Oryctolagus cuniculus: one gene and its partners. The protein of the gene in region 1 purifies or fractionates together with the protein of each later gene. This does not show direct contact. Links are inferred from orthologs where the notes say so. Each region holds a gene or a part of one and is shown on either strand. Other genes may lie near its edges. The genes, in order: SMAD3, SMURF1, RUNX3, FOXO3, TRIM33, HIF1A and RNF111.

Region 1 (3,216 bases):
CGGAACACCGTGGCGTGGGTCTGCAGAGCAGAGCCCAGGTGAACAAGAGTGCCCCTGGGCAGCAGGGCCGTGGGCCCCTCCCGCCCCCCTCCCGGCCTGTGCCTGCGGCAGACGCTGCGGTACCCGCACGTCAGCTGGAGCCAGCGCCGTGCGAGTTACTCTCCCCTTCATTTTTCCAGATGTTTGGACTCCCATTTTGTTTTGCAGTCACTCTGCACCCAGGCCAAACCCATTTCAGTGTTGGCGCGGGGCCACCGTTCATAATGAGATCCAGATGAGCGTGACTTATGGAAAGTCGGATTCTCATTAGAGGCTTTCGCCCCGCACGGTCGTCCTCCTCGTGTTTGGGCTGCCGTGCTCGGGGCTGCCCCGCGGGGCTGGGGAGCGCAGTGGCGTGGTCTCCGGGGTCTTGCTGAAACCCAGCACCGGTGATCCGTGGAGCCGGCATGGCGGTCAGACCTCAGAACTGGCGGCCGTCTTCTGACGGCTGCAGAGATTAGCCCAGGCCCAGCGGGCCAGCCGGGAAGCACCCAAACTGACCTTTTAGCCCTGGCACGGACCAGGTAGGGAACAAGAGTGGAAGATTAGCGTTAGTTTTTTTTTTTTTTTTTTTTTTTGGAGAAGACAGGGAAAGGGAAATACTTAAAGGCGGCCCTCCGTGGAGAAGAGCCAGGGGAAGTCCATTTGCTCACTCTTCTCACACCCGGACTGTAGCCCAAGGGGCCACGCATGGTCCCTTCCATCAGGTGGACCCCTGCAGGGCCGTCAGCGGGCAGGGGTGCTTAGGCCAGGCCAGGCAGGCAGTGCCCGGCCCAGTGCGGCGTTGCGGCCGTCCAGCCCTGCGTGCCCCAAGGGGCTCCTCGGCGGCAGACGCCCTCCCCGGCAGGCCGCCGGGCCAGCACACGCCGTGCTCGCAGCCCACCGCGTCACCGCCGCCTGGCAGTGCCGCACGGCAGCCCGACGGGCAGGCGCGGCCCCTTCCCGGAAGAGTCTTGCCGCCCTCCTGCGTCTCGGGCCAAGGGGAGTAGGGTTTCAGCCCTTGTCTGTGCGAGGAGGCCGAGGGCAGGGCCCAGGCCCGCTGCTCTCACCTCCAGCTGGCACGGGCCACCGCGGCCTCAGCAGATAGCCTCGGGGAGCCGGCCTGCGGGCTGCGTCATCCGCCAGCCTGAATTGAGACGGAGTGCTTTGGGGTGCGCCTCGGTTTTTTCCAGTAATTGTTCCATGGCTCGCTCTGCTCGGAAGATTTTCCAAAATAAGGCCGTAGATGGGAATTGTATCAGCACATGGGGAGCGGAAGGCATGTGCGCTGTCGGTGCGTTGCTCGGAACGCCCCTCCGCCAGACAGACACGCATCACCACGGCGGGCCGGGCCGGGCCGGGCCTGTGTCTGGAGCCGCTGGTGCCCACCTGGGACACACAGGAGCTGGCCTGGAGGGCTTCCACTGCGGGGCCTTGGGGGTGCCCTGGCCTTGACTTCACATTTACCTCTTTCGGGCCACCTCCCTCCCCCCATTCCCCGGCTCGGGATCTGCTCAGGGACCTTGGCCCTGCTAGTTTCAGCGGATGGTTGGGACCTCCTCTAGGGCAGCATGGAGCCAGGTTACGGTGTAGCTGGCTTTGGGGGGGAAGACTGTCACAGAGGAGGGTGTTGTGACTTGCCTGTGTTTCCTCCTGGACGTTTTTAAACGTCCCCTACCTGCAACCCTGCCTTGTTTCTTGCAGGAGACAGACAGTGACCAGCACCCCCTGCTGGATCGAGCTGCACCTGAATGGGCCTTTGCAGTGGCTGGACAAGGTCCTCACCCAGATGGGCTCCCCCAGCATCCGCTGTTCCAGTGTGTCCTAGAGGTGTGGGCGGGGAGGGGGAGGGGCTGCGCTGGGGCAGTGACCGTGAGGAGGGCGCGAATATTCGAACTCTGATCCATTGATTATTGTCAAGGAAGAAGGACTTTTTCTCCCTCCGGTGGCACCAGCCTGTTTTCTAAAACAGAGGTGAGCACAGGAGCAGCACTTCCGAAGGGCTGCGTCTGCTGAACGCACCGACTGCCCTTTGGCCCTGCTTCGAGGACGAGGATGGTGTCTGCTCTGGGGGCCTGGAGTGAGTGGGTGGGATTTCACCACCTGCCCCTCCCCTGCCGCTTCCTTCTCTTCATGATAGCAACGTGGGATGTCCCGGCTCAACAGGAGGTGCCCCCTCTGTCTGGGACCGCTGTGTCAAGTTCACCTCCGAAGGATGTTCTAGGTAGGGGGCAAAGCCTGCCTGGCCACGGGCAGACTTCCTGCCTCTTCTCCGGGGCTCCCAGCCAAGCCTCCTGTCCTGCAGGCCCTGTGCCTTGAGAGGCTGGACGGGCAGGGGGCTTGGGCAGCTCCATCCACTCTCAGAGCATACTGATGGCTGTGTGTTCAGCACTGCACACGTGACAGTGGCGAAAGCGCCACCTCCTCTTTCAAAACTCTTAAAATGTGTCCTTTCTCACTTCGAAAAGTTGGAAGGATCTGCTGAGGCCCCGTGCGAACGCAATGTATGGTTTCTATTATCGCATCAGTCTCAAAGAGATTCGAACGACGTCAGGTGTTCACACGCAGCAGGAGGCAGGTGGCGTGTGGGCTGCGGCGGCCCCGGACTGTGTCTCCCGCCTTTAAGAGCGTGCACTGGTTCATGCAGTCCATCGTGTTAATTAAATCAACTTTATTGTATGCTCTTTTAAATGTCTGCTCCGGATTAGGAAAAACACGACACGACACCCTGGGTTGACGCATTACTGGGAGCTAAGAGAGGGCTCCTCCAACAACCGTCCCAAGGTGAAGTGTTTCCCGGCTTCCCAAGGAGGCAGCCGCCAGCGTTTCTGGAAGCTGACACTTCCGGGAGCAAACATGCCGGAAGGGGAACCTCGCAGGCCCACGGGCCGGTGCGAAGGCCGCGCACAGTGGTTCTGCGCCTTTGGAGACTGCAGGCGGCCCTGGTGATGACACTGGCAGCTACGCCGGGTGAGCCCACGAGCACAAACTATTTCAACTGGAAAAAGGGGCCCTCTTCTTTCACGGGCCTTTTGCAGAATACAGCAGACGGAATCGTCACCTGCAATTGGTACTTTCTTCTTTGCTGCTGGTTTTTTTTTTTTTTTTTTTTGGATGAAATGACGTATCTCACCTTTTTTGCATGGACTTATACCAGGAAAAGTAAAGGGATTTCCTATGGAAGTCCTGTCTTACTCC
Region 2 (4,142 bases), on another chromosome or scaffold:
TCTGAGATGGCCCCCTAGCTCTCTCCTCCAGCAGGACGGTTCTATCATGTGTGTCTTAGCCTTCTGCACACACGCCTATCACCAGCTCCTCATCAGCTGATCTGGATCGCCCAGGGAACTGAGCCTCTGGGATGCTGAAACGTGATGGATTTCTTTTGTGTCTTGTTCCCAGGCACACAGTAGGTGGCCCAAGGTGCTCTCGGCAGGTGCGTGTAAGCGGTTAAGTGACAAGCGCAGCCACTTGTTAGTGAGAAGTGGTTTCCAGAGACCACCCGATGGGCGTGTTGAGGAAACCATCAATGGACAGGAGTGGGGTTGGGGGCACGCTGACCCGCCGGACATTAGAGTGGGGATCCCTGGAGACCCTAAAAGGTGTCTGCGAACGGGAACATGGCTGGGTCCTGGTCCCCTGCTTTGGACACAGCTTGGATTCCTGCACTTGTCACCAGGATCACTCACAGTCTCGGCTGCGCGGGGCCACAGGCACGGTCCAGGGCAGGTGCCGAGCCCGGAGCCCTTGCGTCCAGCCCGGGAGCGAGCCAGCCAGCCAGGCAGGCGCGTGCAGGTGCTCCCGGCCTCCCCGAGGGGCGCGACCTCAGCAAAGGCCCAGGGCCCGCGCTGCTGGGCACCCGGACGCGATCCAGGCCTGGTGGCAAATTCGTGCACAGGAGGCGGGTCAAAAACAGGAGAGAAAAAAAAACAAAGCCTGCTTTTCCTCGGGACAAAATCGTGTGTCCTCCCCCCGGACGCGGTAACGGCCGGAGAACAGGCTAAGGATTCCTTAGTGGAATCGGCCACTCGGGAAGCAAGGGGAGAAGGCGGCCCCGGGGCCGCTGCGGTGTCTGGGCAGACCGTGGGCACAGTCCACCCCTCTCCTGTCCCCACGCGCGGCGCCGGCCACTCCGCGATGGGGCCACGGGGCGCAGACGCCGCCTCCGCGCCAAGTCTCTCCCCCGGCCTCTCCCAACAAACCGGGTCGCCAGCCCGCGGCTCTCAACAGCTCGTCAGGAGGACGGAGCCCGGAGCGCGACACCCGGGGACGCCCCTTCTCCCCACCTCAGCGTCCGCATCCGCAGATCCCCTCGGGCGCCGCGGGAGCAGGAAGAAGCGAGAAGCCCCCGGCCCACGGGCTGCAGGCCCGGCGCGCGCCCGAGGAGCGAGCGGGCTGGCGGCGGCGGCGTGCCCCGCCCCCGACGTACCGCGGGCGCGCGCACGCACACAGGCGCGGGGGCGCACGGCGGCGGGCGCGCGCAGGGCCGGGCCCGCACGGCGGCGGGCGCGCGCGCGGCTCCGGGAGGCGGCGGCGGCGGCGGAAGCGGCGAGGGCGGCAGGCGTCCGGCTCCGAGGTGGTGGAGGCGGCGGCGGCGGCGACTCAGGACTGGGCTCGGTGGGAGCCACGAGGGTCCGGGCGCCGGGGCGAGCGCCGATCCCCTGGGCTCCGCCGCCCGGACGCCTGGGCCGCGGAGTTTGTGTCCCGGCTCGGACCCCGGCGCCCAGCCCGGAGCCGTAACCTTGAGGCGGCGGCGGCGGCGGGGCCGGGCCGGGCCGGGTCGGGGGGCGGCGGCGGCGCTGGATCCGCGGCTGCCCGATCGTCGGCGGGAGATGTCGAACCCCGGGACGCGCAGAAGCGGCTCCAGCATCAAGATCCGTCTGACAGGTAGGGCGGGCGGGAGGCCCACCCGCGCCGCGGGCGCCCCCTCGGGCCCCCGGAGCCCCCTCGGGGGCGCCCTCCCCCACGCCGGCCGTTGTCCCAGGACCTCGTCTCCCCCCGCCCCCCCGGCGTGCGCCCCTCGCCGCTCCCGGCCGGCCCCGCCCCCTCGCCGCGGCCCGGCCCCGCCCCCTCCGCGCGCCCCCCGACTCCCCGGGCCCCGCGCCCGCCGGGCTCGGCGCCCCCGGCGTCTGCCCCCACCTGTCCCCTCGCCGCCCACCCCCGGCCCGGCCGCAGCCCGGCCTTTCTGTCCCTGTCCCCTGGCCCCCAGCGCCCGTTTCTCGCCCCCTCCTCCACCTTCTCTCCCCTCCTCCCCCTCCCCCTGGATCCCAGCCCCTTCCTCACCCCCCCACCGCCTGCCTTCTCCCCCGGTCCCGCCCCCCGCCCCGCATTTTGTGCTGGCCCCGCCCCCTCGCTGGGGTCTCCCGGCCTCCACCCTTTTCTTCCTGGAGCCTCGGGTCCTCAGCCGGGTCCCCCGGTTCTTTCTCACTTCCCGCCAGGTCCTGCGACGGCGGCCGTCTGCCCGGGCCGCGGCCTGCGCCCGCCTAGGTCCCCCCCCCCCGCCCCGGTTCCGCTGCATTGCACTTGACCCCCGCTGCCCGCGCGCCCACCCGGCCGCGGCGCGGGCTCCGCCGTTCCTCCCGCTGTGTCCTCGCCCGGCGGCGGCGGCTCGGGGGGCGCGGGGGCGTGGACGCCTCCCTCCGTCGCCGGCCCCCGGCGTCTGTCCGCACCCTGCGGGGCTTCCCGGACCCCGGCCCTGCGGAGTGGGGTCCCCGCCGGCGTGGGCCCGCGGGTCTCTGTGCGAGGACCCCCGGGTCGGGGCTCAGGGGTCGGAACGCCCGCTTTTGAGGCCCAGCTGTCGTCGGTCAAATCCGCGAAAACGACAATGGGTGATTTTTCTTCCCCCCTCAAAAGTCAGTTTTACTTTGAAAAGTTCAGAGTGGTTGGCACTAGCCCTCTTTCTGGTTTGAGTTTAGAAACATTCGCACAGCGGCGTAAGATCAGGGAACGGTTAGGCCCAACGCTGACCCTGGCTCTGTGGACAAGCAGGTGCACCCGCCGGCGCGGGGGGCGAGAGGGAGCACCTGTCCCGCGTGGAGGCAGCGCGCACCTTGCCACCTCGGTGGTGGCAGACAGTCGCAGTCCCTGGCCACTCCCGCTTGGTTCTGGTCTGCAACGTGATCTGCCATTGGCATCGCAGTGGTTCGTTCTGTTAAACAGCAGAGGGATTGATTTGGGGAGTTGGGTGGAGATGGTGTTTCAGAGGCAGGTGTGTCAGGTGCGCGTGTGTGAATCCGGCCGGGCCGGGACCCTGGTTTCTCCTCCCAGGCTGTGGCTGGGCTCAGGAACGAGGCGTGCCACGTACAGACGTGCTCCGGGGCGGCGTTGGTGGGTGGGGGCTCTCGGGAACACCGGGTGTCCAGCGGTTTGAGTGTGGTCTCCCTCGCAGCAGAAGGGTGTAGTGGTGCTGGTCATCTTCCTAGCCTTACCTTGGGTGGAAATGCTGGAACTTGGTGTTTAGTTGAAGATGGAATAGATTTTGGTCTGGTCTTTATGGTTTTCAGGGGAATTTGAAATCTTGCTAATGGCATTTGTGGATAACAATGATCTTTCAAAGAGTTGAGTAATTAAGTTATGGGTTTCAAAGATCTCATTTCCGTGTTTGATATTTGAACATAATGACTTTTCACAATGGAGGGTATTCTAACCAGTCTGCGAGTGCCACACAGAGTGCAATTCATTGGAAAGACAAGGAAGACGCTGGAACTAGAAGGGAGCATTTGGAACGGTTGGGCCCACAGCCGTATCTGGTGGTGACTAGAGCCTTGGACTCCGAGCGGGGGAATGTGTGGTTGGAGACAGGGAACACTTTCACCTCCCTGGGCCCGCGAGGCTCCGGCCATTGGGACGTCCTTCATCTCCTTTTCACAGGCTCTGTCAGTCTGTCTACTGATTTCACGTCGTGGTTGGGCATGTATCCTTTCTGTTCGCAATCCTGGTATTCAGAAATCCGTGTTCCAGCATGGCACTTGAGTCTGATTTATGCCTCCCATTCATATTATGTATTGTTTATGAGTGTTTTTTCCTGTGGGACTTTTTTTTAACAACAAAAAACACTTGTGGGTAATATGCTGAACTGCTCTGGAAATCTGGTCTAGACAGAAGAATGTCCTTTTTAAAAATGGAAATAAAAATGTTTGTTTTCATCCCCCTTGAAAAGTGGAGAGGAAGGGAGTGAGAGAGGGAGAGATGGCGCTGATGCACTTTCCCGAGTGCCTGCAACAGCTCGGGATGGGCTAGGCTGAAGCCTGGAGCCGCCTCCCCAGCAGGGGCCCGGCTGCCTCCCAGGATGAATGAGCAGGGAGTTGGGGTGGAAGTGGAGTGGCCCAGACTTGAACTGGCGCTCTGATGCAGGATTCGGGGGCAGAAGCAG
Region 3 (4,114 bases), on another chromosome or scaffold:
AGGAGGAGGGAAGTGACTCGCTCCAAGGCCTCGAGGCTCGGATTGAGCGGAGCTGGGGCTGGAGCCCAAATCAGACTCCAGAGCCCTGTGGTTTTCACCACAAACCTGCTTCCTCCCCGGCCGAATTAGAACCCCCTGCCCCCGCCCCAGCACCAGGAGCCACCCCCAGTGGAGGGCTTCTCATTCGTTCGCCACAAGCGGGGCTCTGTGACCTCGGACAAGCCCCCTGCTCCTCCCCATACCCCCCCGCTCCTGTTTGGCCTACAGAGGCCATCGTGTGTCCAAGGGTGGAGGGCTGGTGCTGGGAGGGGCCGGGGTGGTGCCCAGGCTGCAGGGGGCACTTCCCGAAGTCTCGGACGTGAGCTGCAACGTCACGGCTGGCCAGTGGGAGGCTGGCGTTCCAATCCAGCCCCATGTGACCTTAGCCCAGCCGACCGCACCTCCCTGGGCCTCAGTGCCTCAGCCTGTGAAATGGGAGAGTAGAGCTCACCAGGGAAACGGAAAAAGCCCTCTCTGTCCTCCCCAGCCCCCAGCCCCAAGCCTTAGCTGGCCCCGGGCACACAGTGTGCACGGCTGAGCAGCCGCCCTCCACTCTCCTACTCCTGAGCCGCTGTGAGCCGGGACGATTCTGGGATGTGAAAGATTCAGCCGGAGGCACTGGGCAAGGAGGCGAGGAGACCCCCGGGCATTGGGGTGGTGCCAAGGACCCTGGGGCGGCTCAGGTGGGCTCAGGTGGGCCGGACTGACAAGCCGGGGCCTCAGAGCCCTGCTCAGGCCTGGCCTCCTGGCACCACTGCGCCACCGCCTTCGCAGGCGGGGCTTCTGCCGGGCACGAGGGCTGGCGGTGCCGCCTCATGTGTTTCCCATTTGTACGTAATCCCAGCTCCCATAAAACCCCCTGAAGTGCCACTGAGCCACACATGTGGCCGCCTCTGCCTGGCCGAGGCGGTGCAGGACAATGGCAGGGTGTGAGCCCCGCGCCCGCGGCGGCACCCGGCTCCCGGCGCCCGGTGAGGGGCCGGCGGGGCTCCCGGCCCGCCCAGGCCAACGCTGGCCTTAATTAAGAAGGAGTCTCCCACACTGGGTCCAAACCGCCGCCCCGGCCGCCCCCACTCCAACCGCTTTCAGTTCTGCTTCTGGGCCGCGTGCTGAGGCCAGTCCCACAAATAAAAGCCACTGCCTGCCTCTCTCTCTCCCTCTCTCTCTCTCTGTCTCCTCTCTCTCTCTCCAAAAGGCAGAGAAAGGCAGCCACAAGATCTTCTAAGAGGCCATGACGTCACGGCCCAGGTGACCGCGCCCCAGCCAATGGGCCAAGGCCGCGAGCTGGCTGCTGGCATCCTGTGTGCCGGGCTTGGGTTGACACTGGGAAGGCCTGGTCCCTCGACCACAGAACCACAAGGCCAGGCCCTCGGCCGCCTCCAGGGCCCTGCGCGGGAGCTGGTTGGCTCCGGTCGTCCCCACCCCCCGGCCGCCCTCGCACCGGCTGGAGCCTGGGCTCCGTCGAGGGTAAGCCTCATTCATTCATTCCCCGTGGCGCTGGTGCGGGGCCTCGCTGCCTCCTCCGCCCTGGCTGCCGAGCGCCCCTTCCCGCCATCTAATGATACACTGCACACAACTGCTGTTGAGAATTTGTGGGTAGACATTCCTGTGGGACCAGGGATCCAGATTCTTGGGTACAAACAGAAACTCTGCTTTCCTGGGGGATTTTTTTTCTTCTCCTCTCTCTCTCTCTCTCTCTCTCTCTCGCTCACTCACACACACTCTCGCGTTCTTTCCTTTTTTCTTTTTCGTAGCAGCAGGGGGAAAAAAAGAGACAAAACAACAAAACAAACAACAAAACCAACACCCCCCCTTCATTCTCCAAAGTAGTCAGGAAAAAAAAACTCTAACAAGGCCAGCCCAGCCCGGCCCCAGCCGAGCCCCTGAAGCGGCTGCAGAGCGGGGCATGGCCTCCAACAGCATCTTCGACTCCTTCCCCGCCTACTCGCCGGCCTTCATCCGCGGTGAGTAACGCGTGCCCGGGCCCCGGCTGGCCCTCGCGGGTGGGGAGCCGCGGCCACCACCCAGACCCTGGCCCAAGGACGTGGCCTGGCTACCTGACCCTGCAAGCCTCGGGGAGCCTGCGGGGAAGAGGAGCCAGTGGCCTCCGTGGTCTCCCGGAGTGGGACTTCTATCCGCAGCCTGTGGGGACAGTGGGCCACGGGCAGCAGCTCCCCCAGCCAGCTCTTGGAGGGTGCAGGGTGGAGGGAGAGCCCGGCTTCCTGCTTCTCTCGTGGGGCTCTGGGGGCCCCGCAGCCCAGCCCCCAGCCTGCCGGAGTGTGGCCCCTGCACCTGGGCTCAGGCAGAGCCGTGGGAGGCAGGTGGAGGCCGGGCAGCACCGTGGGCCCCCGGCGGCCTTCCCTGGCGGCGTCCCCGGGTGAGGGGGGGCGGCAGGAGGAGGGGAGCTGCTGGATTCGGGGCAGAATTTGTGCCGCCTTGGCTTGCCTCGGGGGTGGGGGGCAGGCCTGGGGAGCCTTGTGAGCCCAGGCATGGGGGAGAGAGAGTGTTTCTTGGGGTGCTTGCATCCATCCGTGGCTTGGAGGGACCCTGAGGTCTGGGCTGTGTCCCCGATTCTCCACTTGGTTGAGGCTGGACCTCATAGGGGCCTCTTGCTGCCGGTCTGGCCCTCAGGGTGGATGGGCCTTGGCCTCAGGCAGCCTCCTAAGCCGCCTCTGTCGTCCCCAGCAGAAGCCCAGATGGGGCCTGAGCGTCCCCTGAGCTGAGTGTCCCACAGCACAGTAGCCACTTTGCTGAGCAACCATAGCAAATTCCTTAACCTCTCTGAGCCCTGAGTGAGGTCCTAAGGCTGAGGCTGGGCTGCAGACGGGGGCTGGGCTTTTGGGTTGCTCAAAGGGACCAGTTCTCTGCCAGATGAGAGTTGAAGGCTTTCTAGAACTCCTGGGCTCGGGAGCAGTGGCTGTCCTCCCTCCGCCGAGGTGGTCAACGGGGCACGGAAGCCGGCCCGACTGTCCGTCTGCACTTCTGTCCATCTGTCCCCCTGCTGCCGGCTCCCAGGGTGACTCAGAGGAAGCACTTGGCGGCCAGCTCTGGGCAGGGCCCGACGCCCATGTGGGTCTTTGTCGTCCAGAGGCTTCGCCGAGGCTGGGCTGGAGTAGGGGCCGGTGGGGTCTGGGCGGGCAGAGACTGAGGTGGGGGCGGGAGGCCGCCGTCCCCGACATGGGGGTGCTCCCACCAAACCTGGCTGGGGCTGGTGACAGGCGGCCCGTCTGGGACCGGGGCCGTGGGCTCCTGCCTTCAAGCTGCTGCTATTATACGTGTTCCCTTTGTAGTCCTCGGAGCTAATTAAAGGCAGTTCTGTGGCAAGAAAATAAGAGTTTATAAAAACCATTTGCTGCGTCTTTGTAATCTACGCTTCTCCCTCCGTGAGCACGATGGAGAAATGCAGGGTTTAAAACAAAGGAACCCTGGGAGATGGGGCTGAAGGGCTCCCGGGGCCACGGAGGTGGCACCAAAGGAGAGGGAGGGGCAGTCGGCTGCTCTGGCCCACGGCGCGCACAGCGGCCTGATCGCTGCCCCGCAGGTGCCTCAGGTGCAGAAGCCTGGGTGGCGGGGAGGTCTGGGTCTGGGTCTGGGTCTGGGTCTGGGTCTGGGTCTGGGTCTGGGGTCTGGGGACCGAGGGTTCCCTGTGCTTCCGCGGAACAGCTCCGTCCACCACGCTGAGCCCTCTCCTGCCCAGTTCTGCTCCCAAATCCCACCAGGTCCCAGCTGCCGGTTTTATCCCCAGAGAAGTCCAGCCTGAGGGTACACTCCGCAGGGCCCCAATTCTACACGCCCACCCAGGGTCCTCACCCCGCTGGGAGGTGAATCTAAAAGCCTTCAGACTTTGTACATCTTGGAGTCAAATTTTTAAATGCAAAAAAAAAAAAAAAAAAAAAAAACCCACAAAGGATTATAAAGAAAAGCACATCTGTGGGAATGCCATTATCAAACTCGGAAAGAAAGCGCTTCTATGATCCGGTGGCCATGTGTCCCTTCATAGGAGCTGCTTGGTGGTGGCACAGCCACCGGCCTCGTGCAGCAGTGACGCGCGGGAGCCAGGGAGCAGAAGGCTTCC
Region 4 (4,235 bases), on another chromosome or scaffold:
GTGCGCAGCAGTGGCTTCGGGGGGCCACCCTCTCTTTATCTCCGCACTTCTTAGAATTTTTACTCGATTGTTTATTATTTGCCGGGGGCGGGGGCAGGACGGATGGCGAGCCGAGAGGGGCGTCGGGGGGCCTGGAGACTGGCCCCCGCGGCCACTCAGCGCGCGGCGTGCCTTGACGAGTCAGCGGCGCAGCGAATGGCGACGCGGCGCAGCGCTCCGGGGTCACGCGCGTGTGGAGACGATGACATCATCTGTTTGTACGCGTCGAACTAGCTTGGCGCAGGGGCGGGGCCGCGCGTCACTTGAGTGACGGGCGCTGCGCAAAGCCCGGAGCCCGGAGCCGGCGGGGTGGGCGGACTCCGGCGGAACCCGGGCTGGACGTTCCCGTGCACCGGCTGGTGTGGCGGAGGCCGCAGCCACACAGCGAAACGCGGGCGCTCCGGCGACTGCAATTTTCCCAGCAAGCTATTTGTGAACCGAAGCGGACAGGCGTTTGGCGTGCATGTGGCGTGTTGTGCATTCTTAGGGCATAAACGAGCGATTTGGGGCAGGCATCACGGGATGAGGACTTGTGGAGGTATTCTGTTACGCCTAAAGCCAAAATAGACGTCAGAAGTGCGCAACTGGAAGTTTTGCCGTGAAATCAGAATAAAATTGCTCCCCCTTCTCGGTTGTTCGGAGGCTTCTCTTTCGTCGAGAACCGGGGGATAATTTGATTTTCTTCCTCAGTTAAAGCACCCCCCCCCCCCGTCTGCTATGAAATCCACGAAAAAGGGAGACGATTGTAGTTCAGCGTCCACACGGGGGGGGACCCAGGGCAAACCCTGGGAGCCTGATCGAATCGGACGCATCTATCAAAGTGTCGCAGACAGCAACGTCCACGCCGAGGCGACCCCGGCCCTCCGCGGTCAGCACCTTCTCTCGGATGTTACCTGGCGTCCGGTTCTAACGCTGCGGGATCCGACACCAGAGCCCGGCGGGAGGACGCGCGCGCAGGCCAGGGACCCCGCCACCCCACTCCCCACGGTGGCCGGGACTTCGCCCGGTTCTGCGGGGCGTCCGTGGCTCCGCGCGCCTTCCCCTCTCCCGCCTCAGGCGAGCCAACGCCGCGCTTTGTTGTCGCGGCGCCCGGCAGGGCCAGCGGCGGAAGCCCTCGGCTCCCCGGCCCGCGGAGCACGCGCGCGCACGCCCCGGCGCCCACGCGCAGGCGCGCGCGATCCCTCTCACACACACCCCCACACACGCGCGCGCGCGCGCGCACACGCCGGAGCGCCCGCGGCCCCCGCCCCGGCCCTCCCCCTGGGCGGGGACCCGTCCGCCCGCCCGCCGTCAGCCTAGGTTGAGGCTCCCTGCGTGTGTCTATAACTTTGTGCTGCTGCCGCGGCCGCCCTGCTCGTGGAAGGGAGGAGGAGGAATGTGGAAGGCGGCGGCGGCGGCTGCGGCGCGCAGGCTGACAGGCGGTTCCTCGGGCGGGCTGCGGCGGCGGCCCGAGCGCCTCTCCTTCGCCCGGGTGGCGCGCCCCCTCCTCGCCGTGCCCCGGGCCCGCGCGGGATTGTGCGTCCTCCCGCCTCGTCCCTGAAGGGAAGGAACCGAGGTAGGCGCCGGAGCTGTGCAGCGGGGCGGCCGCCTTCCCGGTGACTCCGGATCTGCTTCCGAGCGGGGCCAGGCGCTTCCCGTTTTCCCCTCGGTGTGCGCGCCCCCCTTCGCTCCCGCTAGTGTTTTTTAAAGGACTTGAGGGAAGGGGGGAAACTGTCAAGATGGCAGCAGCGGGAGCAAGGAGGTGATGAACGCGCTGGCCCGAGCTTTCTGGCCGCCCGGGAGACTTGGCGCTTCCCGACCTGTTGGAAGATTTACGCTGCGCCTCGCCCCCTCCCTGCGTCCCCGACCCGGGCAGCGGGCGGAGGGCACGGCGTCCCCCGGGAGAATAAACCACCCGAACCCCGAAGTGGCCGTTCCCGCCTGGCTGGACCCCCGGAGAGCACCCGCGGGTGTTGCCTGTCCCCCTTCTTTCCGTTTTTTTTTTTTTTTTACCCCCTATCTTGGAAGTGGCAAGGCCCGCCTGCGCCCAGACCCCGGCTCCCCCAGTCGCCCTCCCGGCCCCAGGGCGAAGAAGGGAGTAGGGGCTCGGGCCACGGGGCCGGGCGGGCGGCGGCAGGGAGTCGCGGAGGCGGCAGGGCAGGGGAACGGGAGCGGAGCGCGGAAGACGCCACAGACTTTGGCGGCGCCGCCGCCGCGGGAGGCACTTGAGCGGGGCCGGAGCGAAACATAAACAAACGCACGCCCGCTCCGGCTCCGACCGCGGCTCGGCTGCGCCAGCTCCGGCCGCGGCCCGCTTTAAAGGCGCGGCGCGCCCCTCCCCCGGCCCGGCCCCCGCCCCTCCCCCGCCCCGCCACCTAGCCCGGGAGAGACCCGCAGATCGGGCGGCGGCGGGGGAGGGGGCTGCCCCGTGCGCGGCCGGCCATTCGCTCGCGTCTCCCCAGCGGCCTGGCCAGGGGGCGGCGTCTGCTGCGCCAGGTTCGCGGGACGCACGTCTCCAGGTCTGCCTGTTCCCGGGTGGCGGGTGCGGCGGCGGCGGCGGGCTCCCGCCCGGGATAACCAACTCCCCCTCTGTCTCCTCTCGTGCTTCCTCAGGCGGCGGCGGCGGCGGCGCCCCGGCCCTCCCCCGCCGCACCCCGCCCCGGCGCGAGAGGAGAGCGCGAGAGCCCGAGCCGCGGGCGGGCGGGCGGGCGCCGAAGATGGCAGAGGCGCCGGCCTCCCCGGCCCCGCTCTCTCCGCTCGAAGTGGAGCTGGACCCGGAGTTCGAGCCCCAGAGCCGACCGCGTTCCTGCACTTGGCCCCTGCAGAGGCCGGAGCTCCAGGCGAGCCCGGCCAAGCCCTCGGGGGAGACGGCCGCCGACTCCATGATCCCCGAGGAGGACGACGATGAAGACGACGAGGACGGCGGCGGCCGGGCTGGCTCGGCCATGGCGATCGGCGGCGGCGGCGGCGGCGGGAGCGGCGCGCTGGGCTCCGGGCTGCTCCTGGAGGATTCGGCCCGCCTGCTGGCTGCCGGAGGGCAGGACCTCGGGCCCGGGCCAGCGCCCGCGGCGGGCGCGCTGAGCGGGGGGACGCAGACTCCGCTGCAGCCTCAGCAGCCGCTGCCACCGCTGCAGCCGGGGGCGGCTGGGGGCTCAGGGCAGCCGAGGAAATGCTCCTCGCGCCGGAACGCCTGGGGGAACCTGTCCTACGCCGATCTGATCACTCATGCCATCCAGAGCTCCCCGGACAAGCGGCTCACTCTGTCCCAGATCTATGAGTGGATGGTGCGCTGTGTGCCCTACTTCAAGGATAAGGGCGACAGCAACAGCTCCGCCGGTTGGAAGGTGCGTACCCACCCGGGGCTGGCGGCGGGATCCGCCGGGCTGAGGGCTTGGCCCCGGGGAGCCGCTGTACTGAGGCCCTGGGAGTTTTCTCAGACCGCCGCCTCCGGCGGAGGGGAACCCGCGCTCTGCCGCAGAGGGGACGCAGGAGGCTCCCGGGGAAGCCTCGGTCCCGGCGGGGTTGGGGCGGGGGCGGGAGTCGCGGGGCGGTTGGCGGAGGAGGGTCAGACGGGGAGTGCGCTTGCTGGATTCCAGGGACGACACGGAGAAGGTAGGTGCGCGGCCGGCTTCGGCGTGGAGTTCGCCGTAGTGGGGTGTAGGGGCGCAGGGGAACGTTTGCGACTTGGCGCGGGGATGCGTGGTTGCATGTGTGTGGGAACGCGCGGTGTATTTGTCACTAGTTGCCTGCGAACCCCAGGCTTGGAGGTGTTAACTCCCACGGACGCATCGATCCCATTAGAAGAAGTAGTGATTGCAGACCTTTGCCTGGTCGGCTCGCGTTGTCCGTGGGCGATGTCCCCTCTGAAATGTCGTGGGGCCTGGAACGGTCCGCATTGCCGCCTCAGCGCGGGGTGGGGTGGGGGGCCCCCGCACCTGCGGCTCCCGCGCAGGCCCCGAGCTCCAGGTGCCTGCGATTCACCTAAGCTGTGGGGCGGGAGGAGGGTTTGGTGGCAGGGCTGGGCCATAATGGCTTCTACCTATAACCGAACCTGAAGAGAGGCTTCCTACTGCTCCTTTTCTGCCTCTCGGGGCACCGGACACGTGGTAAGGAGAGGTGTGGAAAGGCCTATGATGTAATGACTTCCTGCAGTTAGGCATCCGAAGAGATTAACTCCTCTGCCCCTGCAGGGCTGCTGATACCCCGGCCGCCTGCTC
Region 5 (4,160 bases), on another chromosome or scaffold:
TGGCTAGAAATCAACATCACTTAAGAACAACAGTATTTAGTCCTTTCCACTTACTTCTTCTCCCAGCTCAAAAACAAAGGTGGAGAAATGAAGAGAACGTATGGGACTATATTCTCTCATACATAAATTTCAGAAAGCCAATTTCATAACCTCAGTTCCTCAACCAACACAATTTGCATCTTGAGTTCCCTCTAAATTGCTCACCTAATCCAGGTTCCCACAAGGACACTGAATCCCACGTGTCTTATTATGCTCATGGGACCACGACCAGCTATCCTCTCTACACCTATTACCACTTAGTGTCTCCTCCATTAAACACAGATCTTTTTTCTTAACATTCTTATCTGCATGTCCCAATAACAGCTCAAACCCAGAAGTGAAGGTATTATATCCTCTCTCCACTACAGACACCTGCTTCTGTGCCTGAATTCTTTGCTTGCACTAACAGCACTGTCAGCAAACAAGAAACCTAGAACTCGGTCTACACACCAATCTCAGTTAGCCCCTCCATCTCCATTACTAACAATAAACTAGCAGCCATTTCACTAGTAACTACTGTATATGAGTCACTTTACATATCTTATTTCACTTCATTTTCTCAATAATCCCATGAGCAATATACTTTTTGTCCCTGTTCACAAATGAGAAAACTGAGGTGAAGAAAAGTTAATCTGTCCAAGTTCTAAGTAGAAAGTGGCGAAGAAGACACCTGAACTCATTTTGATGTCTCCCTGACATCAAAATGCTTCCTTCTGTAATGCCTGGCATCAGACCTCTCCTACCCAATCCAAATGACAATTTCCAATCTAGGTTGCTGCCAAGGTTCCCCTAACTGGCCTCCCTGCATTCTTTCATCTCTCAACGACTTCAGGTGATCTTTGTAGATCACAAATCTGACTTTACCCTTTGGATAGAGAAGTCCTTTGGGAACGCCTTGTACAGGAGACACTGCACAGGACACATCCCAACCCCTCAGTACTGTGCCAAATTTGCATACCTGCTTAGAAACTTCACTTCTGTCACATGTTTACAACAAAGTCCACCACGTTATTGTGATATTCGTGTGATTCAATGAAGAAACTTTCAAGTGCTCAATAATGAACTGTTATTCCAGAATCCCACCACTGCTGGAGTACTACATAAAAGACATAGTACATAAAAGACCTTACCAAGAAAAATTCCCAAATACTGTATTCTGAAGTCCAAAACACATCTTGTCCCAAGAGTTGCTGGAAAAGGATGTGGAACTCCTTATCCACGCAGCTGATCAATGCAATCTACTGTCCACCAGAGGTCTTGCACAAGGTGGACGCACCTTGTACCCTCGATCCCCTCCACCCAGTGAGGCAGGCAATCACCCTTCAGGAAACCTGCTCCAGGCCTTCCTTTCCTGGGAAGTTTCCCTGACTTTCCCTCCATTTCGCCACAGCCATGATAGTGAGCGCCCACCTCCACTGCTGCAGGCTACAGTTTCCCCTGTTAAGACTGGGAAGGGGGTCCTAAGCCAGCATCACATCCAGTCCCAGCAGCACCCAGAACGCTAGGGGTTCCTTAATGTACAATGAACTGAAACAAATGCATGCCCAGCTCTATCTGACCCTCAATCTCAGTCCAAGTTCATTTCTGCTCATCCCCAAACCTTACTCTTGTCCCTAACCATGCAGGTCCCTCACTGCTATTCTCATCTCCTGAGATGCTCCTTCCCAATGCCATCTTAAAATTCTTTTCCATCAAGAGCCTTCTCTTGGCTCCAAGTTTCCCAACGTCTTTTAGCCGCTTGCATTTAAACCGCAGTCCTCTTTGCTCCAAACCGGGCAACGGGCCACGTCCCCTCCCTCCAGTGCAATCCATCCTCACAGCCCTCCTCTCTTTACCTACTCCACCACCACCACCACCTCTCCCGGGCCGGGCGCCCGTCCACCCTGAACGCTGGCTCTGCTGTCCGGGTCCAGCTTGCACATCCCAAACCTCCTTCGCTGTGTCCCCTCCCCCCAACCCCGTCTCACAGCCGGCTCCCTCCCTTCATCCCCCTCCTTATCTCTCGCGGTCCAGCTTCTCTGGAAACTGTCCCAGGGGCCGTGTCTTTCACTTCGCCCACCCCTCAGGATCGCGCAGGTCCGGGCAGCCCCGAGCCCCAGCACTTCGGTCCCCAGATCCTCCTGGGCTCCGCAAATGCCCCGCGGCCCAGACGTCGGGCCGGGCCTCCGGCTCACCTTGCTGGATGTCGCCGTTGCTGCCCCCCGGGATGGGCACGCTGAGCTGGCGCTCCGGCTCCGGCAGGCAGCGCAGGCAGAAGGAGTGAAGACAGGGCAGCAGCTTGGGCTCCGCCTCACGCCGGCTCTGCAGGCTCTGCTGACACACGGCGCAGGTGTCCAGAAGCGAGGCTGGCGGTCCAAGAGGCGGCCCCGCCGAGGGACCCGGAGCAGGGGCTGAGGCTGGAGCTGGGGCCGGCGTCGATACGGTCCCCCCGGGAGCTCCAGAGCCCACTGAGGCTGCAGGAGCCGAGGCAGCCTGAGCCGAGCCCGAGGAGGCCGCGGCCACCCCCCCGTCGTCGGGCCCGGCCGCGCCGCCCTCCGCGCCGGCCCTGCTGCCTTCCTCCTCCTCCTCCTCCACCAGCACCGCGGCGAGAGGCGGCTCCGCCTCCTGCGCCGCGGGCCCGGCGGCCCCGGCAGTTACCGGCGCGCTGCCGCTGCCCCCGCCGCCGCTCTCAGCCTCGCCGCCGCCTTTGTTTTCCGCCATGTTTTCCTCTTTGAACCCGCCGGACCGCCCCGCGCCGCCCGCCGCCCGCGTCGCCGCCGCCGCCGCCCCCAGCCCCAGCCGCAGCGAGAACGGCCGCCGAGAGCGAGCAGGCGAGCGAACCAACGAGAGCGCGCGCGCACGCGGCGCCCCCGCCCTCGCGTCGCGCGGCTGAAGAGGGCGGGCGCGGCGCGCGCACGTACGCACGGACGTCCTCTGGAGGGAGGCGGGAACTCGGGGCGCGGGCGCGGGCGCGGAGTCGTCCGCGACGCTCGTCCAGACGTCTGGGGCTGGGGCGTTGCGTCAGTGCCGCGGACCTTTAGCGCAACAGGCGCTAGCCTTTAAAAGCCAGAGGCCGTGGCAACCTGTCGGCCTTTGGCGGATCGTGCTGCTGAGTTTGGCCTCAGCTGTGGTGCGGAACGAGGGGCGGACTAAGCTGGACGGGTCGGAGGCCGCGGCTGTGGCTGCCCCAGCGAGCGTCTCCTCCGAAGCTTCTGCAGCGTGATCGGACGCCAGGGCCTCGCGGTTCTTGGTGCTGTGCGAGGCACCTTCTGCTGTTTGTGGCTCAGGGGAGCAGTAAGCCGAGTCTTTGGTTTTTTTAACCGGAGGTCTACCAGAAATAGGCTGAAAAGACCCGGTGAGGAAGAGACTCACTGTGCGGCTAATTTCCACTACTTAGTGTGATTCCGGGACGTTGCTACGTAGCCGAAAACCGGTCACCTCAGGAGCTTTTTGAAAAGCCACACCTCAGCCCAGAGTCCGGAAGTGGGGCAGAGGGCTGATTCTGATGCGCCTCAGGTTGCGGAGCCAAGATCTCACCTCCAGTGTGGTGGCCTCTGAGAGTCCCACTTAGTGTCCTGGGTGAGCCCGGTGACAAATGCCCTCCAGGTAGAAGCTTTCAGAAAGGGTTGGCCTTTTATTTGGGAAACAAGTGTTTCTGCAGAGCAGTGGCTGTTTGGGCGTGAGACGCTTGCACTTCTTTGGTCTTTATCTCTTGAGCTGGTCTAAGTCCCTAAACCATGTGCAAGCCTTGTTTATTTACTCACTCCAGAAGACTCGCCTCTATTAGGTGTCAGTGTTTTAGATACCCTGCGATTACAGCAGAGAGCAAAAGAGGCTCTCCCTGCCTTTAAAAGAGTTCACGAGCTAATGGTGCAAGGTTTGGAATAAACGAGGGTACTTCAGAAAGCTCTTGAGAAATGTGTATTATGAGAAAACCATGTGTGGATTGGAAATTTTTTGCACTAAACTGTCGCAGTTTCATTTTCCATGAACTTAAATTTTAAGTACCCTGATAACATGCGAGGTAAATGCCAGGAAGAAAAAGCAACTGGAGCAAAATAGAGATTGAGGGAGGCCTGTTGATAAGATGAAGGAGTCTCTCTTGCAGAACAGTGTTCAAAGTAGAGGAACAAATAGTGCAA
Region 6 (4,140 bases), on another chromosome or scaffold:
TTTTTTCATTTTTTGGAGATACAGAAAAGATGCATGAAGACAGAAGAGAAACTGAAAGAAATATTTGGAAGAACTTACAAAAAGCATTTTAAGGGTGGTGGAAGTTCAAACTTAAAGCTTAAACAGGTAACATTTACTAGGAAGTACACAAACTGTTACCAAGACTCCCCCATTCCCGACCCTGGGCTAAGTGTTCTACATGCATGATCTCATTTCCCATACATATTAACTGTTAAGATGGCTGCTTCTTATCATCAAAAGGAAAAGTTAGGCATGGACGCATTCAGGACTTGCCCAATTCACAAGTGGAAAGGCTGGCACTCTAACTCAGAGATTCAGGCCTCCAGCTTCTACACTCTTCATCTCTAGCCCTGCTGCTGTTATAAACAAGTCAAACTGCAACAACAAAAGTTTACTAATAAATGACTCTTAGTGGCCAAGGTTAAAAAAGAAAATTTAGAAATGTTTATTCTCAGAGATTTCACTACAATGCTCCAGTAATTATTTGTTTTGGAAAACTCTGAAGGAACCTGACCTGAAGCCTAAAAACAGAACCTCCTGCCATTCCTTTTGAATCTAAAAACCCCTATTATCCTTGTGCTCTCAGTAAGTCCAGCACCTACAACTAAGGAATCAACATGAAACTCCCTGTTAAATCTATTACAACCACACCACTCTGCTCTGATTTCTTTCAATTCTGATTTTCAGCTGCCTTGTCCTCCTCTAAAACTGGGAAAATTCCAAGAAGAAAATCTCCACCTCAATCTGTTACCTTTCAAAAACTTGAAGAAATATTAGTCAGGAAAGGGCATTTTTAATTAACATCATCCAAAAGTTGCTGAGTAATCACTATTTACTGTTTAACTTAAAATTTCAGTTATATTAAGAATCTCCATATTAAGTGTTACGACTACATTCGATCCCAGGTGGTTAAGTTTTCAAATGAGAAAATTTTGAAAATAACAATGGGAATGGGGAAAACCAAAGAATTCATTTAGCGCTGGGGCTGGTGCGCAGTAGTTGCTAATTTATTCACTCACTTATTTTACAGTGGCTTCTGGTATTAACTGAAGAATAGCAAAGAAGAAATCAGTAAAGTATTACATATAAAAAGGAAGTGACTGGTACACAACCTAATGCATTGTGGTAACTATGATTCAGTATATAATAAGGACGGAAAATTGGCACTACACAGAGGTAATCTGCCTTTGGTTTACAATATAGCAGCCTCTTCATTTCATCAAAAACACTGTAATCACTTCTGCAAAATTAATTGCAATTAATTCCTGGTTAACTCTTGAAATTAAATCTAGACTTGTGTGCTCATGTTTTAAATTGTGTAAGTGCTCTCTCCCCGGTGTATATAAACTGAGAATTTTACATTCTATTGAATAGGGACCAAGATAAAGAATCTACAAAACAGCAAGGATATAAACAAGTTTATCTTCCGCTCATACTGATTAGAGAAGTTAATCTCTCCCATAAGAGTGGAAGGACTTAACAGTAAAGCCAGCCTACGTTACTACTCCTACTATATAAATCCTCAATTCCTTAAAATAATTTCCTCAACGGTGAAAATACCAAAGTGGAGAAAATAGGGAGGGGGGTACTGTAAATACCACGGGTTCCACCATTCTTAATCTTTCTATAATGTACCCCTCTTACACTTCACGCTGTTCAATAAACTTGCTTTAAGTCCCAACACAATCTGGATATGTGCTGATGGTTTCCTTCAAATATATTAAAATATCAGGAAAACGAGACAGTTCTGAAAAAAAAAAAATCCTCCAACACTTTAGTGTTGCATTTCGTTTGCTCCGGTCATCTACTTCGCTTTTCAACCTCACTGACACTGTCTGCCTAAATCGAAGCCGCCCGTTACATTTTCACCAAGATATTTTCGGGAATGAATGAGGCACGGATTCCTGCTCATCGTCTGGGCTCCCTGGATCCCAAGTCTCCACTTCCCAAGTTCCCGCTACAGCCTGGCGATGTGCCCCCCAATTCCCGTTACTCCGACTCCCAAGTCTGGGCAAGTTTTTCCAGCCGATTAAAACAACAAAACGAAAAACAAAACCTGCACGTGCAAACTAAAAAGTTAGCATCCGAAGGCCGCCGCGGCCAATCCCCCCACCACGGCACAAAGGCAGCGACACCCGCCGCGGCGGGACCGCCGCAAGGGCCAGCCCAGCCGCGGCCGCCGGGGCCCCGCACCCGCCGGCGAGCCGCGGCCAGCGTGCGGGGCGCCCGGCCCGCGCCTTCCCCGCCACCGGGAGGGAGCGGAAGCTCCGGGTGCGAGCGGCGGCGCCGAGCTGCGGGCTCGGCTTCCAGGCTGGGGCGAAGTCCCCTCCGGACGGGGCCGCGCCGCAAGGCTGGGGCTCCGCGGCGGGCGCGGGGGGCGGCGCGAGGACCCCCGCAGCCCCGGCTGGGGGCGGCGGCGGCGGCGGCGTGCAGACCCCCGGCCCCCTGGAAGCACTTTCGAGGCGTCTCCCACCCCCCACGACAAGATGGCGACGTGGACAGCGGGGGAGCCCGGCCGGCGAGGTTGGGGGAAAGAGAGGGGAGGGGAGAGGAGGCAGAAACAACAAAAAAAAAGGCCGGGCGACCCCCGCCCGCCCAGCGACCCACCCCGGGAGCGCCGCGGCCCGGCGGGCGGGCGGGCGGGGAAGGGGCTTACTTTTTCTTGTCGTTCGCGCCGCCGGCGCCCTCCATGGCGATTCGGTCTCCGCGATGCCTTCCCGGCCGGCGGCCCCCAGGCTCGCTCCGGCCTAAGCGCCGGCTCCCTGCACACGCGGAGAGAGCAGAGCAAGTCCGGGTGGGGGCGGCGGCGGGGGAGGGGTGCGAGGCGGGAAGCTCCTCGCAGAGCAGAGCGGGGCGGCGAGCGCGGAGTCCGGCGCGAGCCTCCGCGCAGGCTGCTTGTCACGGCCCGGCCCGACGCGCTGGGCCCACTCGGCAGCGAGGACGGTCCTCGCGTCCCCTCAGACGAGGCGGCTCTGCGCTCGGCGGAGCTGAGGCAGCGGGCAGGGGGCGGGCAAGGGCGGAGGCGCGCCCGGCCGCGCGGGGAGGGGAGGGGCGGGGCGGGAGCGCGCGCCCCCGCCCCTCGCCTGCCCGCCGAGCCCAGCGCGCGCGCGCGCGCCCCCGCAGGCCCGCCTCACCTGAGGGGGAGGCGGGCTGCTCGGGAGCCAATGGCGAGCGACGCAGGCGGCCAGTGCCCACCCCAGCCCACGTCGCTCTCAGCCAATCCGGAGGCGCTCAGCTGAGGCACAGCTGGGACGCGCCGCGGCGCTCACGTGCCCGTCTGTGTGCGGCCGGGGCGGAGAGAAAGGCGTTGGGGGGTGCGTCTGCGCCGGGACTAGGGGGCACCCAGCGCCTGCCGCTGGGGACGGCGGCGGCGGGCTTGCGGGAGGCGCTGCTGAGGGGAGTTGGCGGCTGCCCGGGCCCGAGGTTGCATCACGTTTTCCCGCTCCCGCGCTCCCCTCAGGCGGCGTAGCCGAGTTCCCTGTGGGAAAGCGCAGCCCTGGCGGCTTGGGCGCGAGCCCCCCGGGTCTCCCCGCTCGGACGCGTTGCGGCGCGGCCTTCCTGCCAGGCTGCCCGCGCTCTGCCGCACGGCACGGGGGACCCCGCGGGGCCCCTGAGGCGTTCTGTCGCGAACTTGTTTAAGTTAATGCCAGGGAAAACCTCACAGACCCGTTGTTGCACGCCTCTCTCCGAGGAAGGAAGGTGTGAAGTTACTGTAGAAACGGCTTTCAGAAGCGAGAATATATAAACCTGCATTTCAGGGAGGGTCGGAAAAATGGCTTTAGGCACACTTTTCTTTGTGCTTTCTTAGCGCTTTTGCAAGACGATCTTGCGTGGATTCAGAAGAGTCTCCTTGAGTTGCGTTCGCGGTGTAGACCGAGTCCGGAACCCAGGCTGCCTCCGGGGCATGGGCCAGAGCCCGCCGGGTTGGAAGGAACCGGGCACGACGGTGCTGGCTAGCACTGCCTGTTTGCTGACAGGACTGCGAGTTACGGAACAAAACTTAAGCACTTTTTTGTCTTTAGAACCATACATTTCAAGCCTCTCAAGTCTTTAAAAAAAAAAAAAACATATTTTGAGCTCCACAAAGAGCCACTGCGTATCCCTCCCCGGTGGACATCA
Region 7 (3,589 bases), about 8.0 Mb from region 1:
AGCCAGGAGCCTCCTCCAGGTCTCCCACGTGGGTGCAGGGGCCCAAGGACTTGGGCCATCCTCCACTGCTTTCCCAGGCCATAGCAGAGAGCTGGATTGGAAGAGGAGCAGCCAGGACTATAACCGGCGCCCATATGGGATGCCAGTGCTTCAGGCCAGGGCTTTAACTCGCTGTGCCACAACGCTGGCTCCAGTATTATTGTTTTTAAGGTTAAAATTTTAGCTGTGTTAGCAAGAAAGGTATTCTTCAGTTTGCACAAACAACTCAATTTAAAAATTGACAAAGGACAGGGCCGGTGCTGTGGCCCGGGAGAGAGTGGAGGATGGCCCAAATGCTTGGGCCCCTGCACCCGCATAGGAGACCAGGAAGCAGCACCTGGCTCCTGGCTTCGGATCGGCGTGGCGTGCCAGCCGTAGCGTCCATTTAGGGAGTGAACAAATGGAAGAAGACCTTTTTCTCTGTCTCTCTCACTAACTCTGTCATATAAATAAATTTAAAAAAAACCATAATGGAAGATCTTGTGATATTTTGCAATTTTTAAAATCAATTTTTGTTGGTACCTAATAATTTGTGATGGGAAAGATAATCACCATTACACATTCTGGTAAATATGAGCCTTTTGAAAAATTTAGACTTTGAGGAAAATCCCAGTAAATACAACTACTCAAAATTATGTATAGGTTAAGAATGTGCTGTTAGTATCACATTCTTATTTACACAGACTTGATTTTATTAAACATTTCTTTTTTTTTTTTTTTTTTTTAAGATTTATTTATTTATATGAAAGTCAGAGTTACAGAGAGAGAGAGAGAGGTCTTCCATCCGCTGGTGTACTCCCCAATTAGTCACAATAGCTGGAGCTGCGCTGATCCAAAGCCAGGGCCAAAAGCTTCTTCCGGGTTTCCCATGAGGGTGCAGGGGCCTAAGGACTTGTGCCATCTTCTACTGCTTTCCCAGGGCATAGCAGAGAGCTGGATCGGAAATGGAGCAGCTGGGACTTGAACCGGCACCCATATGGGATGCTGGCACTGCAGGCAGTGGCTTTATGCACTATGCCACAGCACTGGACCCTAAACATTTCTTAATTCTCTGTTTATTTACTGACAGTTTTATAGAGATCTTTGATGATCTAATTATTTGCCTTTTTTTTTTTTTTTCCTGTTTCAAGATGACTCAAGGAGAACTGCTTCTAGTTCTGTAACGGAAACTGGCCCTCCTGCTATGCCGAGATTACCTTCCTGCTGTCCTCAACACTCACCATGTGGAGGATCATCACAGAATCACCATGCATTAGGACATCCACACACAAGTTGCTTTCAGCAGCATGGTCATCATTTTCAACATCACCACCACCACCATCATACTCCCCACCCAGCTGTTCCAGTTTCTCCTTCTTTTGCTGATCCTACTTGCCCTGTGGAAAGACCTCCACAAGTACAAGCACCTTGTGGAACAAATAGTAGCTCTGGTACCAGCTACCATGACCAGGTATGGGAATTTGAGGAGAGTCAGTTATTCTTCTCTCCCCTTCTCCTTTAATTGTGATAACTTATGGGAACCAGGGTGGGTTGCCAGTGATAAATTTTATTAAGTCTTCAAGATTTTCAGATGGTCTAAATTATTGCAGTTCATTGATGAATTCAGAAATTTGGAAAATCAGGGATGCCACCTAATCTAAAAGTGACTTTTTTATTCTGGAATGAATCTTGGTGTTTTCGGTTAATATTATAGGATTATAGGTGATTCTGATCTTTGGGATGTTATTTTAAACAAAATGTTGAATCTACGGTGTTAGTCTAATTCAGAGAAACTGAAAAATTATCAGTTTTTCCCTTCTAACTCCTACTTGGAGTTCACTATAACTTCCACTTATCTAGAAATATGCGACCTTCATGGATGCAAAACTGAGGCATAGCTTTTCAGGAGCAGATAAGGTTTTCAATTTATGGAGAATTGAAATGTCAGCAAAAAAATTATAAATAAATAAGTTAGTTGATATTGGTGAGTAATAAGATGCCAATAATATTAAATTAGCAATCATGATCATGCTGAGTAACTTTTTGATATGTTGTTCTGTTTATAATCATGATATAAGCCTGAGTGTTATATACCTTCAAAATCAAAAGATGTAATTTCAGGGACAAATTGTAACTTTGACATATGTACTAGAAAAGAATCCTGGAAAAAAGTCAGAATGAAAATTCAGAACATGTGCTCTTCTGTATCACCTGACCTTTCCTGAAGTTCTTGTTTTATCTTTTAACATTTTGGCGGTTATCTCTTCTGGATCAGACAAATTGAAAATAAGAAAGAGGGGTGTTTCCTTAAATGCAAAGTTTGCTATTATCAAGAGCAAATTTGAAAGGATTTAGTAGAAAATATGGTTAAAAAGATTTTAGATGTTATTTTGGTTCTGGGAATACCTTTAGGTATTATCTGTATTTTTTCTACCTCTTGGAAATGAATTAACATCAAAGAAAACTTACATGAACTGAATGAAAGGCTCTGCTTAAATGTAATACATCCTTTTACTCCATATTTATAGTGAAAGGGGACTTTGTAAAGATAGTAGGAAAACGGTGGAGAAGTAGGTCTCCTAGCTCCTCCTACATTCATTAAAGAGCTTCCAAAAGCTTGGCCTGTGACTCATAGGATATTCTGTTGTATTAATAAAATAATGCAGCAGGTTTTAAGAGATCAGTTGAACATATATTTTTTCAACCCAAATCATTAATTATAGATAAAATCTCTTAAAGTTTTTTTTTTTTTTTTTTTTTTAATTTATCTGAAAGGCAGAGTTAGAGGGACAGAAAGAGATCTTTCTTCTATCCATTGGTTTACTCCCCAAATGGTTGCAAACCAAAGCCTGGAACTCATCCTGGCCTCCCACATGGGTGGCAGAGGCCCAAGCCATCTTCTGCTGCTTTCCTAGGTGCTTTAACAGGGAGTGGAGCAGCCAGGACTCAAACTGACACTCATATGGGATGCCATCATTGCAGGTGGTGGTTTAATCTGCTGTGCCATAGCACTGGCTCCCCTTATATAAGCTCTGTTTGTTGTAAAATGAATATAACCATTTCCCCATCTATAATTAGAGGCATTTGGACTTTAAACAAAATTTGAGAACAGTGAGATCCTAGGCATTCAGTATTGGTAATGGGCATGAAGATGAATATAAAGTGAGATTTTTTTTTTGAAGATTTATTTTATTTATTTGAAAGAGTTAGAAAGGTTGAGCTAGAGAGAGAAAGAGGTCAGTCTTCCATCCACTGGTTCGCTCCCCAAATGTTTGCGACGGCCAGAGCTAAGCTGATCCAAAGGCAGAAGCCAGGAGTTTCTTCCAGGTTTCCTACATGGGTGCAGGGGCCCAGGGACTTGGGCCATCTTCTGCTTTCCCAGAAGAGAGTTGGATCGGAAATGGAGCAGCTGCGACTCGAACTGGTGCCCACATGGGATGCCAGCCCTTCAGGCTGGGGCTTTAACGCACTGTGCCACAGCACCTGCCTCTAGAGTAAGATTTTGAAGATAACAGTTTGAGATTCAAATAGATGTCTGGCCGGTGCCGCGGCTCACTAGGCTAATCCTCCG

What was found.
Region 2: the proteins of SMAD3 (region 1) and SMURF1 purify together in Homo sapiens (affinity purification with western blotting; 3 studies listed by BioGRID). This does not show direct contact. The link is inferred for Oryctolagus cuniculus from reciprocal best matches to the Homo sapiens genes SMAD3 and SMURF1.
Region 3: the proteins of SMAD3 (region 1) and RUNX3 purify together in Homo sapiens (affinity purification with western blotting; 3 studies listed by BioGRID). This does not show direct contact. The link is inferred for Oryctolagus cuniculus from reciprocal best matches to the Homo sapiens genes SMAD3 and RUNX3.
Region 4: the proteins of SMAD3 (region 1) and FOXO3 purify together in Homo sapiens (affinity purification with western blotting; 3 studies listed by BioGRID and IntAct, with this or other methods). This does not show direct contact. The link is inferred for Oryctolagus cuniculus from reciprocal best matches to the Homo sapiens genes SMAD3 and FOXO3.
Region 5: the proteins of SMAD3 (region 1) and TRIM33 purify together in Homo sapiens (affinity purification with western blotting; 7 studies listed by BioGRID and IntAct, with this or other methods). This does not show direct contact. The link is inferred for Oryctolagus cuniculus from reciprocal best matches to the Homo sapiens genes SMAD3 and TRIM33.
Region 6: the proteins of SMAD3 (region 1) and HIF1A purify together in Homo sapiens (affinity purification with western blotting; 4 studies listed by BioGRID and IntAct, with this or other methods). This does not show direct contact. The link is inferred for Oryctolagus cuniculus from reciprocal best matches to the Homo sapiens genes SMAD3 and HIF1A.
Region 7: the proteins of SMAD3 (region 1) and RNF111 purify together in Homo sapiens (affinity purification with western blotting; 5 studies listed by BioGRID). This does not show direct contact. The link is inferred for Oryctolagus cuniculus from reciprocal best matches to the Homo sapiens genes SMAD3 and RNF111.

The regions. Positions count from the first base shown.
Region 1 is NC_091443.1:89,967,345-89,970,560, forward strand, and holds part of SMAD3 (mothers against decapentaplegic homolog 3), read left to right. Parts: intron 1-1,722; coding exon 1,723-1,846; 3' UTR 1,847-3,216. UniProt on the Homo sapiens protein: Receptor-regulated SMAD (R-SMAD) that is an intracellular signal transducer and transcriptional modulator activated by TGF-beta (transforming growth factor) and activin type 1 receptor kinases.
Region 2 is NC_091450.1:41,405,002-41,409,143, reverse strand, and holds the start of SMURF1 (E3 ubiquitin-protein ligase SMURF1), read left to right. Parts: upstream 1-1,269; 5' UTR 1,270-1,602; coding exon 1,603-1,657; intron 1,658-2,314; exon of another isoform or gene 2,315-2,594; coding exon of another isoform or gene 2,595-2,622; intron 2,623-2,647; exon of another isoform or gene 2,648-4,142. UniProt on the Homo sapiens protein: E3 ubiquitin-protein ligase that acts as a negative regulator of BMP signaling pathway. Mediates ubiquitination and degradation of SMAD1 and SMAD5, 2 receptor-regulated SMADs specific for the BMP pathway.
Region 3 is NC_091438.1:146,263,898-146,268,011, forward strand, and holds the start of RUNX3 (runt-related transcription factor 3), read left to right. Parts: upstream 1-1,231; 5' UTR 1,232-1,945; coding exon 1,946-2,003; intron 2,004-4,114. UniProt on the Homo sapiens protein: Forms the heterodimeric complex core-binding factor (CBF) with CBFB.
Region 4 is NC_091436.1:62,843,997-62,848,231, reverse strand, and holds the start of FOXO3 (forkhead box protein O3), read left to right. Parts: upstream 1-1,380; 5' UTR 1,381-1,594; intron 1,595-2,631; 5' UTR 2,632-2,735; coding exon 2,736-3,362; intron 3,363-4,235. UniProt on the Homo sapiens protein: Transcriptional activator that recognizes and binds to the DNA sequence 5'-[AG]TAAA[TC]A-3' and regulates different processes, such as apoptosis and autophagy.
Region 5 is NC_091438.1:55,852,162-55,856,321, reverse strand, and holds the start of TRIM33 (E3 ubiquitin-protein ligase TRIM33), read right to left. Parts: upstream 2,855-4,160; 5' UTR 2,740-2,854; coding exon 2,214-2,739; intron 1-2,213. UniProt on the Homo sapiens protein: Acts as an E3 ubiquitin-protein ligase. Promotes SMAD4 ubiquitination, nuclear exclusion and degradation via the ubiquitin proteasome pathway. According to PubMed:16751102, does not promote a decrease in the level of endogenous SMAD4.
Region 6 is NC_091451.1:8,816,839-8,820,978, forward strand, and holds the start of HIF1A (hypoxia-inducible factor 1-alpha), read right to left. Parts: upstream 2,812-4,140; 5' UTR 2,713-2,811; coding exon 2,678-2,712; intron 1-2,677.
Region 7 is NC_091443.1:81,933,372-81,936,960, forward strand, and holds part of RNF111 (E3 ubiquitin-protein ligase Arkadia), read left to right. Parts: intron 1-1,169; coding exon 1,170-1,489; intron 1,490-3,589. UniProt on the Homo sapiens protein: E3 ubiquitin-protein ligase. Required for mesoderm patterning during embryonic development. Acts as an enhancer of the transcriptional responses of the SMAD2/SMAD3 effectors, which are activated downstream of BMP.